Linked DNA regions of Caenorhabditis elegans. The protein of the gene in region 1 interacts with the protein of each later gene in a pairwise test. Each region holds a gene or a part of one and is shown in the gene's direction. Other genes may lie near its edges.

Region 1 (5,623 bases):
GGCAGGTAATTATCTCTCCTGCTCCGCTTGCTCCGTTGGCTACTCTGGGTGTGCCTATGATATTGCTTTTGTAGGTTACCCGTAGTTAATGTAGTCCATTTTAAATTTGTTTCCCTGTTGCTAAATCTATCTACCATTTCGCACTATTTTTTTTCTTCTTCTTCTTCTGTTTCTCTTTTTTGACTAGTTTTGGCTTATACGTTGCTCTAACATGTTTGAGAAGTTTTGCACATTAAAAAAATAAGATTTCAAAAATTTTTGGAAAATTTTTGAGAAGTTTCAGCGTAATTTCAGAGTTAAAATTCAGATAAATTTTGAGCGATTTTTTTAATAAAAAATTAATAAATTATTTAGAAACGTTTTTTTTTGTTTTGAGACATTTCTTGTGCAATTTGTGTTCAATTTTTGAGCACTATAAAAAATAATTTTCCATATTTACGGTGCAATTCTAACAATGCTGAGTTCCCAATTTTTCCTGACGTTCTCCAACTTTTCTGACATGCCGTCAACTCTTTCATGAATTCCAAATATGAATGTTCCGTTTTGTTACTTCAAACTAAGTTTATACTGACAACTTCCTTTTTTTGGAAATGATTCATTTAGACTTGATATAATTAATTACCTGCCATTAGGTTTCTATCTTCTTTTCTATTGGCAGAATTATCTATCTTCTCTCGATCTTTTTTTTTATTTTGTTTTTTGTTTCATTTTCATTTTTTTTTCTCAAAATTTCATTTCACAACTTTCTCAAGTTACTCGATCAACTTCTTTCTTCTTTTCCAAAACTTTTTTCTGACAAAAAACTCTGAAACCCAACCCTCTCCCCCAATCCACGTCATCAAAACTCTCTGACCTACCTGTCAATGTGATTTACGATTAACAACAGATGCCCCTCTTACATCTGAACAGCCGACACAGCACGTGCTTTAAATGTTCTAGCTGTCTGCGTATCTAATATAAACTGGCATTTTTGTATGTTATAGATTGACAATTGACTGTAACTGGGGGAATGGAAACAGTTGGAAGTTTTCAAAATAGAGGTTATGGAAATAAAAACAATTTTGTTTGTTTGCTTACGTCACTCACCACACTCTTTCCATGAACATATGAGTTGATATCAATTGATAACATGGAAAAACGAGACAAATTGCATATTGCTATATTTATTTTCGCTTTTTCAGATGTCAGACTTTCTAAATTTTCAATATTGTTACTACTAGTACTGCTTCTTTTTTTGTGAGCTTATATCTTGGCTCATTTTTTTAAAAAGAGAAACGTCAGTAGGAGAATTGTTCAAAATATCTTCTATAGTGCAATTACCACTAAAAATTGCAAGATTTATTTACAATCAAGATGTGCCAATTTTAAATTTTCGCGGCTCATAAATTTGAAAGTCATTTTTTAAATCAACCAGAAAATGGTTTTTTATAACGGGTTTCAACATAAACGATTGTTTTGGATTATGTGAATTTGAAAAAAAATTTAATAAATTTGTAATGTTAAAAATATATTGTTGTTTTGGCAGTTTCAGAATTTTAATTGAATTTAAATTTGAATGTCAGAAAAAATTCAAAAATAAGTCAGTTATTGGAACTTTTTTTCAAAAAATATTTCCTTTGCCAATAAGCACTATAAAATCAGCAGTGAATTCGAAAAAAATTAAGTGGCTGTTAAATAAGTCAATATGCGTTTGAACAAATGACGTAGAAATTTGAGATCGACTTTTTCTTATTCACATTCGTGCTTCTCTGCGTGTTTTCCAAAACACGGTCGCTCTGTTTTGATTTCAACATAATATTTAAACAGGTGAACAGACCGCCATGCAAGATTTATCGGTCAATAAAAGGAAGCTGAAAAAACTAATTTCGAAACCTTCGAGAACAGAAAAAAAAACTGTTTCTCTTTCATGGGCAGGCATTTCATGAGATTTTTAAGTGCTTTCCTTTAAATAATTTTGAAGCCACCATGATTTTGAGCTTATCACTGACACCCCCATCTTTCCCCTATTGTCATTTGAAACGTATGACTTGGATCTCTGTTTGAGCTGAAAAAGAGATGAATGAGATGAAAGAGAAGAAGACAGAGGGCAACAACAAAAAGAAAAACAAAATAGCACAAAAGAGCGAGATGATCGAAAACCCCGAGAGAAAGCAAAAATGCTCATCACCTGCGGTGAGACGGCAGCTGTCCCCGCAGAAATATCATGTACCTGTGCGGAGACGCAGGGTATACAATCACATGGTGAACTCCTCGGGGTCCCTTCATCTCGTGTCAGCACATTTTTGTGAGCTCCAAAAAATTTTGTCACGAAAAACACCACTTCATGGATGCTGAAAACGAAATGAACGCTGAAAATGTCGATGTGGAACTTTTCTTTCGAAAACCACCGGAGATCACAAATTTTGAGTTGGTTAAGACAATTTGGATTGACCCGAAAGGTGAGTGTTTTTTCATATTTTTTTTAAATTTAGTTTGTAAAAATGCAGTTTGAAAAAAAAAAATTGAAAAAGCTTGATTTCTAATAGATTGTATCTCTTGCTAGTTTTTTTTGTGAATTTTGAAAATTTTGAAGTTCATAAGAAAAAGCATTATATAACTTTTTTAACTTAAAATTTCTGAAAAAAAACTTTAATAAATGTTCCACGTATCCAAGTAGGCACATATCCGATATCTACCTCTGAAATTTTTGTTTTTGATTTTTTCAGTTTATTTCTAGACATCCCGCAAAAATGATTCAAAAAATAGTTTTTAGGCATTAAAAAAGATAAAAAAAAATTTAAAAAGATAAAAAGGTAAAAAAGTCGACAAAATTATGTGGAAATTGTTTGGATTCCGATATATTTCGGAAAAAAATCTGAAAATCAAATTCGAAAACCCATATTAAAATATCGGAAAAGAGCTTTTGGAGCATTTATAGGTCTCAAAAATAAAGCAAAAAAACACTGAAATAATTAAAAATCAAAATTTAAAAGGTCGAGATTAATGCTTTGTCAAGGTCTTTCACTTAGAAAAAATAATATTCTTAAATTTCCTTGGAAAATCTTTTTGTCATTTCAGAGGAGACAAATTCCACAAACGAGCCAACATCTGAGCATGAGCCAAAATCCCTCCAGCCACTTGCTCTTCAACCCCTTCAAACTCCTGAGTCAGAGTCCGGTGGGTCCTCTTGTTCTCATTCGGAAGTTGAACAACTTCCTGACGATATTCTCAATGAACCTCTTGATGATGAAGTTTTTGAAGAAGAAGAAGAAAATGTGCAAACTGATTTACTGTTCCGTCAGCCAAAGAATTCAGAAATGGAATTAGCTTACACCATTTCAAAAAGTGCCGAAATCAACCTGGATGAATTGGAATTTGAGGATGAGGAAGTCGAAGTGGATCTTTTGTTCCGTGAGCCAACTGATCGTCGATTTGAATTGGTTTATACAATTCCAATGATGGAAGATGTGAGTATTGATTCTCAGGAAACCATTACTTTTGAGGACATTCCACCATCTGAAGAACTAGATAACGTTGTGGAAGAAGTTACAGATGTTGCTGAACTTACTGAATTTACATTTAAACCAGTTGAAAAAGATGAACAGACTGAAACTGAGTCATTCACTACAGTCCTAGAAGCGAATGCTGGAGAAGGTGCAAGAGACTTTATCGAAAGAGTTAAGTTGACTTCCAATGACACTTTGGATGATTTGGATGATGATCCTGAGGAAGAAACTTTCCAAAATTCGTTTGTAAAATCTGTGGACTCTAAGACGCCAACTCCAACAGGAGACAATTATGAAATTGAGGATTCCTCTGTATCTGATGTTCTCAAAGATGCAGCCGAAAAATTGCAAATAATTCGAAATTATTCTGCGGACTTGGAATCCGAAAAAGATACAATTAATACGGATGTTCAGCATGTCTTCATTGGTCTTGAGGATGAAGGTGGTGTTATACCAATAATCCAAGAAACACAAGAATATGTTGCAGAAATTGGACCTACTCAAGATAATCAAGAGTATGATTCTACTTCTAAAAGTGATTTGGAACCTCAAAGCTCTGCTGATGGGGTTGTGGAAACTTCGACTTTCGAAGCCCCAGCAGTCTTCGGATTGGAAGATTCTGAAGATATTATAAATAAGCATGCACTGGAAACAGCATCAAATCAAGAATTCTCGAAAATTAAAGAGCCTGAAGTGACTGAAGTTTCTGAAAATACCGCAGAAAATTTGAACGAAGAAGTTGGAGAATCTAAGAATCCGGAAGCAATCGATCTTGTAGAATCTGGAGAGAACGCAGGCATCGAGCAAAATGCAGGAGCTGAACAATCTCAAAAAGAAGCGGTTGAGGAAACTTCAAGTTTTAAAGCCCCAGCAGTCATTGGGTTGGAAGAATCTCGAGATATTTTGAAAGATCCTTTACTTGAAACTGCACCAGATCAAGAAAACTTCAATAATAAAGAATCTGAAATGACTGAAATTGCTGAAATTACAACCCCAATTAGACTTGAATCGTCTGGAGACAACTTCATTGGTACCGATCCAGAAAAGGGCACAGAACAAATTAAAGGTTCTGAGAGCTCCGAATTAGTAACCCAAGAAGTCATTGGGTTGGAAGAATCTGGAGATATTTTGAAAGAACCAGCATTGGAAACTGTAACAAACCAAGAACTTTCTGAAAATAAAGTTTCTGAAGTGACCGAAATTGCTGAAAATATAACCCCAATCGGACTTGAATGTTCGGGAGACAATTTTATTGGTACGGATCCAGAACAGCAGCCAGAGCCCATCAAAGGGATTGAAAGTTCAGAATTGGATGTCATTGGGTTGGAGGATTCTGGAGATGAAGTGAAACAATCACAGTTGAAATCTTCAGAAGATCAAGAATTTTCTGAACTTAAAGAACACGATGCATCTGGAAATGTTGATGAAACTGGTGAGAGCGCAGATATCAAACAGGATGATGTAACGGAAATTGTTCAAAGAGAAACGATTGGGCTTGAGGATTCTGGTCTTGCAGAGATTGTCGCTGCTCATGAGAAAAATTTGACATCTTCTGATATTGACAGTTCTGTGATTCCGGAAGATGCGGAAAATGCATCTCCAGAGGCGATTGGCCTTGAATCTTCTGGAGACAACTTTATCGGTACGGATCTAGAACATGAAGAAGGTCAGATTGACAATTGTGAGAGTTATGTATTGGAAACAGCAGCTGTCATCGGTTTGGAGGATTCTGGAGAGAACTTGAAAGATTCTGTACAGGAAGATCCACCGGAGAAAGAATTCTCTGAAAATAAAGAATCTGAAGTTACTGGGGATGTTGAAAATACAACTGCAATCGGACTTGAATCTTCAGGAGAACACTTCATCGGTCTGGAACAAGGACAGCAAGCAGCTTCCATTGAAGCAAATGAGAATTCTGAAATGGAAGCTCCAGCAGTTATCGGTTTGGAAGATTCTGGAGATAATTTGAATAGGCCTGCATTGGAAACTGCATCAGATCAGGAAAGTTCTGAAAATAAAGAACCTGATGCATCTGAAAATGTTGAAGAAACTGAGCCAGTTTCATCTGCAAAGGTAATTGCGCTGGAATCATCTGGTGATTGTGAAGAAGGAAATATCAAAATATCTGCTAATGAAAA
Region 2 (5,055 bases), on another chromosome or scaffold:
GGTTTTCACTTGAAAAAACTACAGATATCAAATAATTACTTAAATACAAAAAATTAGCTAAATAAAATAATCCAAACTCTTCTTTTAAAAAAAAACCAATTAAAAACGAAATATAATTTTTTCTCCACATAAAATCGCGTAAAACTCACAGCAACACGATCATACTCCTGCTCACATGCGATACGAATAGTCGCGAATTCTCTTTGAAGAGGAAGTGGCTCTTCTGGAAGGAATTTCTGCTTCAGTGGAGCATTATCTTCAGCATAAATCGGAAGTTGCTCAATCTTAATAGGTTTTGAATCTCCATTATTCGTCGTGTTTTTCGAGGTGACAAGTTGCCAGAATTGTCCAAAAACATTTGTCACTTGTTCACCGGCGTTTGAAATTGTCTCCACAATCGGCTTGTCTTGTGTCATCTGGAAAATCAAGCGGTAAAACAATAAAATAATAAAACAAGAATAAATATTTTAAAATTGATTAGCTTATTATAATTATTAAAAAACCATGAAGAAATAAGTATTCCTACATTTGTGGCGCAAAATATCTCGTAGCGCAGGCTCTGTGTCGATTTACGGAGTTTGTGTTTATTCACGATGCGCCTTTAAACAATTATTTAAAATTGATTTTCTTTGTATTTAATTACCACTTTTTCATAAATCGACACCGACGCCTGCGCTACTATATATTTCGCGCCAGGCTTTCTTGTTTTTTTTTTAAATATTTTCTAACATTTAAACCCCTCTGAGGACGGTTTTAAAATTAAAATAGATAATTAACAGGCAATTAACCATGTCTTTAACCAATCCAAATTACCCTTAAAACACCCAAAATAATTTATTAAAAAAACGAAAATTGGGGAGATCTTTTGCATAACAAAACAGAAGAATAATAAACAAAGGATGTTCAGAATTTGGACAGTTTAGAATGGGGTTTTAAAATGGAACGTCAGTAATGGAAGTTTAAGAACGCGATCTTCTGCCGGCTGGAGAACGAGAGCGGCTGGCACGGCGGAATCTGTTGGGCCCTCCAAGTGGCATATTGTTGGCTCCTGAGCCACGGCCGCCCATTGGAGAACGTCTGCGATGTGGTGGTGGACTGCGGCCTCTGGAATTTGATGAAAATTATCAAAATATACTACTTTTCCTTGATTACTTACCCTCTTCTCATTGGTGACATTCTGTCTCTTGGTGGCGGCGAGCGTCTTCTAAATGGAGAACTTCTACGCTGGAATGGGACAGATTGTCGTCCGATAGTCATTTCGACGTGAACAGCCATTCCATCGATTTGTCCTCCATCCATGTGCTTGATCGACTTTTCGGCGTCTTCCAAATTGTCATATTCAACGTATCCATATCCACGATGAACATGGTTATGGAAGCGATCTGGTGGAAGATCGACATTCTTGATGGCTCCGTAGATCGAGAAAATCTCCTCGAGGTGCGTTTTCAGAACATTTCTGCTCAAATTTTTGATCACTACACGCTTGGCCGGACTGGCTGATCTTGCTGCTGGGCTTCTCCTCGGAGAAGCGCGTCTCCTCTGACGGCTCCCGCTTCTGTCACGACGATCACGACGTGGTGGCGATGGGGATGGACGACGGCGACGTGGTGGTGATGGTGATGGTCGCATTGGGCGATCGCGATCCGCGCGTGCTCCTCTTGGCGGTGAACCACGACGGATTGGAGAACGAGAGCGTCCTCCACGAGCTGGTGGGCGGGTATCACGACGACGTGGTGAGCGAGAACGAGAACGGCCACTGGACGATGAGCTGGAGGAGCGAGATCCTGATGAACTACTTCTGAAATATCGATTATTAAGCTATTGTATGAAAATTGTAAAGCATACCCAGAAGATGACGATCCAGAGCTACTGGACGAGCTGCTTGAAGACGAGCGAGCCCTCTTTTTGGTTTCTTCTTTCTCAACCATACTGAAAAATTATTTCATATACTCGAATAGACATCAACTAAGTAAGAAAATTTTCACCGCGTGGTGTTCGAGCAGAAGAAGAGACAGAATGTTGGCTAAAGCGCTTACTTTTTTGAGTAAATAATTAACCAAAAACAAGAATTACGGATTTTCAAATAAATTTTTAATTGAAAAACAAGAAAAAACCTATAGAAAAACTATAGAATTGAAAATATCGAATCATTTTTCGAAGAGACGCGGGTGAATGATTTACGGTAAACAACGCGCGCGGTGGAATATCGGAGTGTCGTTGCAAAACAAAACACTTTCGTTTTTTTTTTCAATTTCAAAATGGACTCTGCAGAATCTGAACTTTTAGAAGAAGAAGAGCTCCCAGAAATCAAATATATCGACTCTGCAGAATTCCAAAATTTCGATAATAACGCTGATCAGCGTGAAATTCAGTTTCGATGGATGGAAGCATTTGAAACAAAAGGTAATTTTTTCCCAAAAAAGTATTTTAGCACTAAATTCTTTTGCAGAACCAAGATGGTTTAGGCTTCTTGACGAATTCATCACTCCACTTTCTGGAAAACGTGGATATTGTTCTCGAATCGTCGAGAAGTACGCTCGAGTACTTCTTCATCAAGGATTTGAGTTGAGCCAGACGGATGGGCCGCTTCGTGTCGCAGCAATTGCGGCTTCGAGAGATGTGGGACAAGCCGGAAATCTTCCATCAGTATTGAACAATTTATCAGAAGTTACAAGACATCTGAATCTTGCTCAGTATGCCAGCACATCGCTCGCCACTGTAGGACAGAGGAAATTCGCAAATGAAGTCGTCCAGTGAGTGATTTTTTTTAAAATTTTATCTTTTCAATGGAAATTTCTTTCAGAAAAACTGTGAATCAAGAGCGCCTTGGTTGTTTTCACCTGTTCCTCATTGGATACCGCGAAGGACTCGAAAATCTTCTCTCAAATCATCGACACCTGCGAAATTTTCGATATAGTGCAAAAAAACGGCATGACCTTCTGACGGAGCACATTAAGAATATATTTCAAGAGCGAGATTCGTTTATTCAAGCACCAGAAGCTAGCAGCTTCGCACTTCAGACGGTTCTAGAAAACTGGACATTTCCACTTCAAAATGAACAAATTGTACAACTCGCCCATGCGAATACTCTTCAAATGCGCGCTCTTCACGTCAAAGGAGACGGTTTTTATTTTCTAAACGAAGCACTCAATGTGGCTATTGCATTCAACTGGTCCAGCTCCCAGGAAGAAATGGAAGAATTCTATTCAATTTTTACTCCACAAGCGACAAATCCACGTGGAAAACGAATTTTTCAATTTTGGAAAATGATTTCCAAGTACGATAGGAGTAATGGAAATGCACAAGGATTCTTGGTGACTGCTCAGCGATTAGAAGAGGAATCCAAGTCAGATGATATTGGAGCTGGATGTGTGACAGCTGTGGAACTTGCGTGTAAAATTCGCAACCAGTGTGATCAGCATGAAGACTTGTCAGTTTTCCGCTGGATTCCAGAGTTTCATATTTAGCAGGCCCAAAACGAATGCTTGGCAGATCCAAATTTTTCGCTCAATAAACAGCAAATTTACCTCTCTTTTCGTTTTCTCCTTCAATAAATCGAGACAGTCTGTCTGCTTTGGTCAGCTAAACATTTAGACCAAAGTTAGGTATGATAAATATTTAGCAGACCAAAGTTAGGTATGCTAAATATTTAGTAGACCAAAGTTGGGTATGCTAAATATTTAGCAGGCCAAAGTTAGGTATGATAAATATTTAGCAGACCACAGTTAGGTATGCTATATGTTTAGCAGACCAAAGTTGGGTATGCTAAATATTTAGCAGACCAAAATTAGGTATGCTATATATTTAACACACCAAAGTTAGGTATCCTAAATATTTAGCAGACCAAAGTTGGGTATGCTAAATATTTAGTAGACCCAACTCGAATACTTAAATAGCAAATTCTTCGTTAAAAAAACAACAACATTAGCTGAAAATGAGCCAAACCTCAGAGAAATCAATAATAATAATATTAACTGTTTTAGAAGTAAAACCATCATGGATACAATAACCCGTCACCCATCTCTCGGCCCCCGTATGATGCAATTAGCCGAACGATGTGGCGTTGGATACGAAAATGAAGAGATTATTCATCAAATCTGCGATCGGTTCTCCTTGCATCCTAGTGAGCCCACGTGGTTAGACTATGTGGAGAACCTAGTTCAAACGGTCGGAAGATTTGGATCAGTGAAAGAGACCATGCAGAAATCTCTAAAAATCATGTTCGAATTCCTGGATTTTGACTCTAACCGATTCAATGAACGAGCATGGAGTCTCTTTGAGAAAGTTCTGAGCCTAACTGATCCCTCGTTTGTGGTGCCTGAATGGAGAACAAGATTCGACTGGTGGCCGAAATATCAAAGATTAAGAGCAAAAGATGGGCGGAAAATGAGCAACATGGCTACGAAAACGAGGAATGATGTGCTGGAAGCACTAGAAGAATTGGTTCTCTGAACTTTGTTTTGTTATTATTTTTGTTGATTTTTTGTTGTTAATTGTTGTTAAAATACGGGTCTTTTTTCTCAGAATCGGTGTGAAAAAATTTGAATTTTTATTATTATAGGTTATTTTTTAACTATCCAAAAAGCCTTATCGTATGGCTACTTTCATATTTTCACGTGGAAATATCTTCTTTTATGTAAACAAAATAACTATTCCAGATCTCATGAGCGATGTTCTGCTCTCCAAGTTGTCCACAGAGCTTGCCGATCTCGACGGAGAAATCGGGCAGATTGATCAACAAATCAGCCAATTAAGACGAAAGAAATCGGAATTAACTCAAAAAAGGCAGGCTGTTAGTGACCGATCTCAACCAGCTAAATGTCTTTAAAATATTTATTTCAGATCGAGCGAAAAATCGAACTAAAAACGAATGAAGACTCGGATGTTGTGACGGATCGTTGGGATCGAGATGGGTTCCCATGGTCCGATGAAGCTACAAAGATCCTTAAAGAACAATTTCATTTGGAAAAGTTCAGACCTCTTCAGAGAGCCGCAATCAATGCAGTAATGAGTAAAGAAGATGCAGTTGTTATCTTAAGCACAGGCGGTGGAAAG
Region 3 (8,176 bases), 8.6 Mb from region 1:
CCTAAATAACTTCTTTCTCGGTTCCGTGCGGTACTAATTTTTATCATGTTTTTTTTTCAGATTCGCCCAGTTTTCAAAAACACAGTTGTCTACTTGACTGGAGGTTTCCGTACAGTTAACGCAATGGTTGAAGCTATCAAATCCGGAGCCACACAAGGAATTGGTTTGGGTAGACCGATTACTGCGGAGCCAGATCTCCCAAAGAAAATTCTGCAAAAGTTGGCCCCTTCAGCTGTCTTCGATGCAATTGATCAAAGTGAATTTGTCCTCTCACTTCTTGCGAGCAACACTCAAATTGAACAAATGGGACGGAACTCGCTGAAAGAAGCAAACAATGATGTCACTTACGGACTCAGTGACTTCAGTGATGAAGATACTGTGAAAAGATTTGGAAAAGCAGTTGAAGAATTCGCCGAACTTTTGAAAATTCAAGCATCTCGAGGTGTCGCAATTCCAAATGTGATCACATTCGAAGGAGTGAAAGCATAAATTATGCATGTTTTTAATCTGTTTTTTTCAAAATAAATTTGTAGCGAGATACATAAATGTAAATAAATTATTGTTGATTTACTTGTTTCATACATCCATCATTTTTCATAAATCTGTCGAAGTTTCAGGTTAGGATTTATTTTCTTGTGTAAGGTGGGGAAATAATCTGGAATTCTTTTAGAAGAAACTGTCAAAAAAACCGTAAACTCGAAATTATTTGATTGAATCATAGAGCCATTCTACGGGAATATTGAATGAAACACAATTGATCAATGCATTGAAAAAATCCAATATTACGTCAATAGGATTTACATAAACAGCGTACAATTGACACTATCATCTACTGAAAAAACGAAGTTAAAACCTTCAAAAGTTTCCATTCACGACTGTCATTATTGTATAAAATGTATAATTTTTTCCGTACTGTTCCACGAGCTAATCGAAATGAAATTACGTTCTATCCAGATTATGAAGGTGAGAAATGACGTAGCTGTGCAAAATTTTTGAAGCTCTAATTTTGTTTGAAAATAATTGAAAGAGTTTTGATAATAGAGTTTTTTCTGAATTTTAACACCTACGCAACTATGATTTTGTCCATAATATTGGGAAAAATGTATACGAAATATGGGAATCCGCATCGATTTTTGTTTTGTTCGTTTGTGTGCCGCTTTTCGGAAGGCAGCCACATTTATGTTCAAACATTGACCGTTTTGTCGACGGGGATATCAAAATTGTTGGATTTCTTATAGTTTGTAGCAATATTTTATTTATTTTTAACAATATTTTGGTTAATTGTTTTTGTATTAATTTTATAATGATTAAGTTTTGGATTGATTCTTCTTGGTTTATCAGAAAGAAAGAAAACATCGTATGTTTGCGCATCCACTCAATTCAATGTTCGCTCACAAATGTGCCCATTTCTGTGCATTTGAAACGAATATTTTTGAACTACATATATAATTACTCGTAGAGCTCATTAAAGTTTTCAAGTGTACCACTTTTGGATATAATTCTTTGGGTGATAAAATTCACCTCGAACATTCAACCTTGGCACAAAAAATTCCTGAATTCACCTGATTTAATTAATTCATATCATTTTTTGTGATTTTTTATTAGGCCACGTTGCACAACTTTTTATGTGTATTGCTTAAGCACAACAAAAAATTTACACATCGTTTTATAATCAACTTTTAAAAATGTTGTTTTTCAGCTTTACATTCTAATCTTTGGTCATCTAAATTAACATTTTTCATTCAATGTGAATCATAATCTCTATTGAATCTCTCTTCTCACACTTGTTACATCCTATTTCATCAGAAAATCAGCTCTTTTCAAATTGAATATTCTCCCGCTTACCTTTAAATGATCTATTAATTTTTGACTCCACTCAAAACCTATGGGATGTCAACTTTGTCGACCAACAGTAACAGACGAAGATATCGATAAAACTCTGGTTATATTCCGTAAGAAAAGCACCAATCCCTTTGAAAAAACTTCTGAGAGATTCTCTTCAACAAACCCATTCGGAGGTGAAATTGGTGAGTCATTTCCTATTTTTAATTCTATTTGTATTTCATCATGTTCTGGAATGTTTCCTCCTGTTATCATTGTTCTCCTTATGCTTTTTTTTCTTTGCAAAGTGAATTGTCGCGAAATAAAAATTGATAACAAAAAAAGTGTGCGAAACTTGTCTCCGCCTCGCTTCTCTTCTTGACAGTTTTTTGCCTCGAAACTTGGAACATTTCATCGACTTTTTACTGGATCATTTCCTATTCCTCTTACAACAAAAGTATCGATGGAGTCTGTGAATAGTGAAGAACACAAAATAAACGAGGCACCCGCGCCACCCGTCATTGTCATTAATAGCTCCACGAAAGAAGAGCAGGAGGCAACACAAACCGACAGAATAGAAGGGCAAATGAAGAAAATCGATTCGGTCTTTGATGAGCAGAATGTAGCGTCATTGGAAGGTGTCAATTCAAAAAATGAGGTGGGTATTTCGTTTTACTTTTGATTAATTTATTTTTGGTATACACAAATTTTCATAATGTTTACATTTTCTCTCCAACCCTGTCACATTTGGTTTTAATTTTGCGTTTTTGCAAAAGGTCGGCTTCCACCAAAATGAAGCAGTAGCAAGAAATTTGTACTGTGCACTTTTAGGATTTTTTTTTCACCACTTTAAATAAATTGTAACGATTTTCAGATTTCCGGATCGGTATCAAGTTCCAGTTTTGAGGAGCTGAACGCAGAGACTGAAGATTTATCAGAAAGAAGTGAAGTCGAAAAAGACGAAGATCTAGGGAGAGTTGTTGAAGAACATAAAGAACCGGCACAAGTTCCAGTAGAATCGGAAACTCCGGAAACTTCTAAAAAAGAAATCCACCAAGAAGAAGAAATCTCTGAACTTGAGAAAGTTCCTGAAACAGTTGAAGAAGAAATTGAAGTCGTCAATACTTCCGTAGAAATTACTGAAGTAAAGAAGGAAGTGATCGAAGAAGTTAAGATCTCAGGCCTCAAAGAAGAAGAAACTCCGGTTCCAAAAATGAGAGCTCAGCAGCAAGTTCCAGTTGCTGCTGACAGGCCAATCAGGCGGCTTTCGATTGCAAGGGCATCTATGATGACCCCAAAAGCATCACCTAAACTTGCAAAGTATATGGAGCCGGTTAGAGGTAGATTTGTAGATTTTTGTTCATATAATGTTTTATGCGTCTACTTTTCTGCACTTTTTTAAACAACTAGTTGGAGTAATGTGGCTATCAAATTTAGTATTTTTCCTGCCAAATCCCAATGTCGATCTGCGATCGCAGTTCGAAAGTTTAAAACAACCTTTCCCTATTAGTATTGCACCCCACTATTTGACTTTGACAGATTATATAGGCAGAGGTTTTTTTCTGAATCTGAAGATGACAGTGCATATCAAAAAACCATTGCATCACTTTTCTTTGTTTTCATTCTGGAAAACGAAAGAACGCTTTTCAAAAGCATTTCCCAATGCCATTCCTTTTCTATTTGGAGTTTCTATCCTGCAGACACTTGCTATTCTTCCCACACAGTTCGATTTTCCATTGATTGAAAAAATTCCTGACAAATGGAACTTCAAACCTTTTTGCTTAAAGAGCTGCACTTTGCATTATTCTTTATCATTGTGAGCATCATTCGTTGACAGGTCACACTGATAAACATTTGGTCAGTGCCAATCAACGCATTTTCATACTCTCGCTATACAACTTTTCTTTCACATCCTCCCAGTACTGGAACACCATGTGCTCTGCTAACTTGTAAATAATTGTGTGCAAACTGTTTTATGTTTGCTCCGTTGAGAGGCAAAAGAGACAAGACCGCCCGTCATAGCGCGAGAACAAAACTTTTATAAGTATTACAAGAATTTTGACGTGACCAACTGATCGGTATCTGTTCTATTTTTTCGGGCATTTCGAAATGAGTAATCTTTTTGGTAAGTATGAACAGAAAATGATCATTTTTAGAAACTCTAACACCTAAATGGATAGCGTCCGAGTTTTTTGGAAAAGTTATAAAATTGATGATCAAGGTAAGGTTTTTAGGTTGTGAAACGGCAGACTTTTCAATCGCGTTATATTTTGATAATCTAGTTATGGCTTTCAAATCCAGAAGTTTCTGATAAAAGAACGAGAAAATCAAAAATTATTTTTAGCTCTACCTTCAAGTTTATATTTTTTGTATTTGACATTATATGATTTTCAATTTCACCTCAATTTCACGAGATATTAATCAAACGCTTGAAAGCTTGAATTTCTTGAAAATTTTCTTGTAAATCATCTCATATTCTCGTTCAAAAGGCAAACGAAACATGGTTTCCAGGTTCTATATGGTGTATTTTTTTCAAACATTTCAAGCTTTCTAGCTCCAACGTTCTATTTATATTTTGAAATTTTGATAAATTCTCCATTTTTTGAAAAATTCACACGGTCTAACGAGCTAATCATCATGCCGCAATCATCGCATCTTTCTTTTTCTTTTCTTCTTTTTTCTCTTCTTTTCGTTTCTTCCATCCCCCTACTCGAACAATTCAATGAAATAACAAATCGGTTACTTTATTTTGATTCAATTCTTTCCTCCTTCTACCAAATCGTCTCAAACATCGTCCGCTTGCGGTTGTCTCATTTTTCTTGATGCATGACCCCTGTGGAATCGATAGTGCACAAGCAGTTGCTAGAGTTCAGTGCTCCGTTGAAAGAGAAAGCGAGAGCATTCACGTTATATAAACTCAAACTAAACTTTTCTCTTCCGGCCTGCTTTCAATTTTATTTCTTCCAAAGAATTTTTGAGTTGGGTCTCTTGATTGATAGTGGTTTAGTTTTTGATTTTGACTACTGTATACCTATAGGTAATGCATTTGAAGTTTGTTATTTCCGGGTGATTTTCTTTAAAGTTTTTGACTTATTGTTAGATAGTTTTTCGGAATTTCAGTTACGATTCACACTCCAAACATGAAAAGTTGAATTAGTTCAACACAACTTTTACCTTTTCAATTTTCTATCTAGTGGAACAGGACACCGATTATACAGAAAATATTGTAGTTAGAGCAATTGAATTGTTATTGTGTTGAAATTGTATTATGTTATTTCTCAAGCAACCTCGTGATTTTACAACAAAATATTTTTATGTCGATTTCTAGTTGGAACGCAGAATACTACTATACGTCATTCTATTGATTGCATATTTTAATTATATTTAGTTACTAATTTCAATTTAATTTGACTAAATCTAACACAATTTGTCCTACTTATTCATCAGTTCCATGAAATTCCAAGCAAATATTGTGGTTTCATATTTACACTGCGACCATTTGATATATGCGCTGGTTTTCCAACAAAAACCATTCACAGCAAGCAATTCCGACAATGCTTTTTTTGTGTGTGTTCTCTTTTTTTCCCCATAAGATCTTTGCAGTTCGGCCGGTGGGTGATGGTGGTCAGTTCGCGTATTATTTTGACTTTTTCGTCTGCGGTCTACTTGGTCCTTAGACTCTCTTGTCTGGCTTTTGCGCAGTCTGTCGGTCGATCTATTTTCTCGATTCGACTACCTGATCCATTTCTAATTTTTCCTCTTTTTCTGTGATTCTTGATTTTTACGCTCTCTCGGCAATTTGTCATGTATAGAACGTCAACTATTGATGTGACCAGATGATTGTACTGTGTTCCCGATTTCATATAATTCATGAGCCTTTTAAGATGAATAAAACATTCCTCAAAGAATATGACTTCAGTCTCAAGCTTCTGATACTACATTGACCAGTTCCTAATGATCTTTAGCATTCTAATCACTCAATTAACATAAATTTTCTCAACCCATCTAATTTCAAAACCAATTGACGGTCTCTAATTGATGTTCTAAATGTTCTAATTTTCTATTGATATTTCCTGTTTGTTTTACGATCCTCCTCCCAGTTAGTGCATCATCATCAATAGGCCGCCACGTCATCTCTGCCCTCTCTGTGTCCATTCGCCTACATCTCTGTTCACACAGTGAATGAACACACTAGTCGTCTGTCAGTATCTGCGTCTCTTACCACATTTCGTGAAAGTCCCACTCTCTCACACCGCCTGATTGTTGGCTGGCGGCTATGATGACTCACTTGGTTTCAGTTCAACACGAGAATAGAGCCCCTATTTCGCAATTTCGATTTCTTTGGGTCTCACTGGGGGATTCTGAATTTAGTCATTCTATAAATTGGCCGGAAAATCTAGAAGAATTTTCAGTTTTTTCGAACTTAGGATGACGAAACTTGTATCACTTCAAGCTCGGTATTTTTCTGTAGATAACTTCTTTTTTTTTTCAGTGTTACATCAATTTAAAATTCAGAATTTATTAGGTTTTCTAACCAAAATATTGAGAATCTTCGTTTTTTTTTTGTTAAAGTAATGTCGTTTACTGTGTTTTTTTTTTTAGTTTTTCAATTCCAGCTGTACATATTTATTCACCACCACCACGGAAATCGAATTTCTGTTGAAAATTTACGTCAGATCTCGATTCATTTTATTTTTCTCAAACAAAAACTATTTTTAATATTAAAAATAACTTTTTATAACAAAAAACGAAAAATGGATGAGAGTAAGTCTAGGCCTGCAACTTTACTTTCTACAGTAACCTTAAGACGCATATACGAAACACATTTTGTTACTCGCTTGTTTTTGTTTTCCTCCCGCGAAATTTCCTTAATTTCTTGAAATATCTCACATGTTCCGTTCAATTTTCCGCCAATTCTCACCTCCTCAACATCTTGGTAAATTTTAAATAAATAAATTTAACATTAGTTTTAATCAAAATCTCATGATTTATTCTTAATTTTATCAGTTTTCAGAAGAAGGACAAAAGAAAAAGAAGACGAGAAGTATGTTTTCGTGGCTTGGTGGTGATTCGTCAAAAAAGAAGAACAAGGAAGTTTTGGAGACGGTTTCCGAAGGTCTCCGCAAGATTTACAAGCAGAAACTCCTGCCTCTTGAAGAATTCCACAAGTTTCACGACTTTCACAGCCCAGCTCTCGGTAATTTGAAATTATTTAGCATATTTATATTTTCAAAATAACGTTCCTTCTTTTCAGATGATCCGGATTTCGATGCCAAACCAATGATCCTGCTCGTCGGGCAATATTCGACCGGAAAAACGACTTTCATCCGTTACCTCCTCGAGTCCGATTTCCCAGGAATCCGAATCGGTCCAGAGCCAACCACCGACAGATTCATTGCTGTGATGCATGGTGATGAAGAAGGAAGCATTCCTGGAAATGCTCTTGTTGTTGACGCAAAGAAGCAGTTCCGTGCTCTGTCAGGATTCGGAAACGCATTTTTGAATCGATTCCAGTGCTCGACTCTTCCAAATCAAGTTCTCGAAAGTGTAACGATCGTTGATACACCTGGAATCTTATCCGGAGAAAAGCAAAGGTTTGTTTTAATTTTTAAATAATCGGAACACTACTTTCAAGGAGTTGTCCCCATTTGATGAAGCTCCAATAACTTATTTGTTTACAAAAACGAATGCTTGTTGGATCGAATTTCCACGATGCAAAAATAAAAATACTTTTTTATTCCAGAATCGATCGCGGATATGATTTCACTGGAGTTTTAGAGTGGTTCGCTGAACGTGTCGATCGTATCATTCTTCTTTTCGATGCTCACAAGCTTGACATTTCCGATGAGTTCAAGAGATGTATTGAAGCATTGGCTGGAAACGAGGATAAAATACGAATTGTTCTCAACAAGTCAGACATGGTTGATCATCAACAGTTGATGAGAGTCTACGGAGCTCTGATGTGGTCACTGGGAAAAGTATTCAAAACTCCAGAAGTTTCACGTGTCTATTTGGGATCATTCTGGGATCATCCACTTCACTACGATCTCAATCGTCGACTTTTCCAAGACGAGCAGCACGACCTGTTCCAAGATCTTCAAGCATTGCCACGTAACGCTGCTCTCCGAAAGTTGAACGATCTGATCAAGAGAGCTCGTCTCGCCAAGGTTCACGCATACATTATTGCTGAGCTTCGTAAGCAAATGCCATCGATGATCGGAAAGGATAAGAAGAAGAAGGATTTGATCCAAAATCTTGACAAGATCTACGAGCAACTCCAGAGAGAACACAATATATCTCCAGGAGACTTCCCAGATGTGAACAAGATGAGAGAGAAGCTTCAAACACAGGACTT

What was found. Proteins that work in one complex are often made in the same cells at the same time.
Region 2: the proteins of ret-1 (region 1) and tag-51 interact in a two-hybrid assay, tested with the Caenorhabditis elegans proteins (2 studies listed by BioGRID).
Region 3: the proteins of ret-1 (region 1) and rme-1 interact in a two-hybrid assay, tested with the Caenorhabditis elegans proteins (2 studies listed by BioGRID).

The regions. Positions count from the first base shown.
Region 1 is NC_003283.11:14,844,031-14,849,653, reverse strand, and holds the start of ret-1 (Reticulon-like protein), read left to right. Parts: upstream 1-2,341; coding exon 2,342-2,438; intron 2,439-3,057; coding exon 3,058-5,623.
Region 2 is NC_003281.10:851,981-857,035, forward strand, and holds tag-51 (uncharacterized protein), read left to right. Parts: upstream 1-2,240; 5' UTR 2,241-2,258; coding exon 2,259-2,403; intron 2,404-2,449; coding exon 2,450-2,753; intron 2,754-2,803; coding exon 2,804-3,430; intron 3,431-3,983; coding exon 3,984-4,452; 3' UTR 4,453-4,555; downstream 4,556-5,055. Other genes in the region: moma-1 (MICOS complex subunit MIC27), read right to left, coding at 150-416; rnp-5 (RRM domain-containing protein), read right to left, coding at 960-1,104, 1,157-1,798, 1,846-1,928; K02F3.12 (Putative ATP-dependent DNA helicase Q1), read left to right, coding at 4,595-4,792, 4,843-5,055.
Region 3 is NC_003283.11:6,207,992-6,216,167, forward strand, and holds the start of rme-1 (Dynamin-type G domain-containing protein), read left to right. Parts: upstream 1-2,176; 5' UTR 2,177-2,284; coding exon 2,285-2,479; intron 2,480-2,695; coding exon 2,696-3,161; intron 3,162-3,930; coding exon of another isoform or gene 3,931-3,946; intron 3,947-5,724; exon of another isoform or gene 5,725-5,940; intron 5,941-6,826; exon of another isoform or gene 6,827-6,835; coding exon 6,836-7,018; intron 7,019-7,075; coding exon 7,076-7,415; intron 7,416-7,564; coding exon 7,565-8,176. Other genes in the region: W06H8.2 (NADH:flavin oxidoreductase/NADH oxidase N-terminal domain-containing protein), read left to right, coding at 61-489.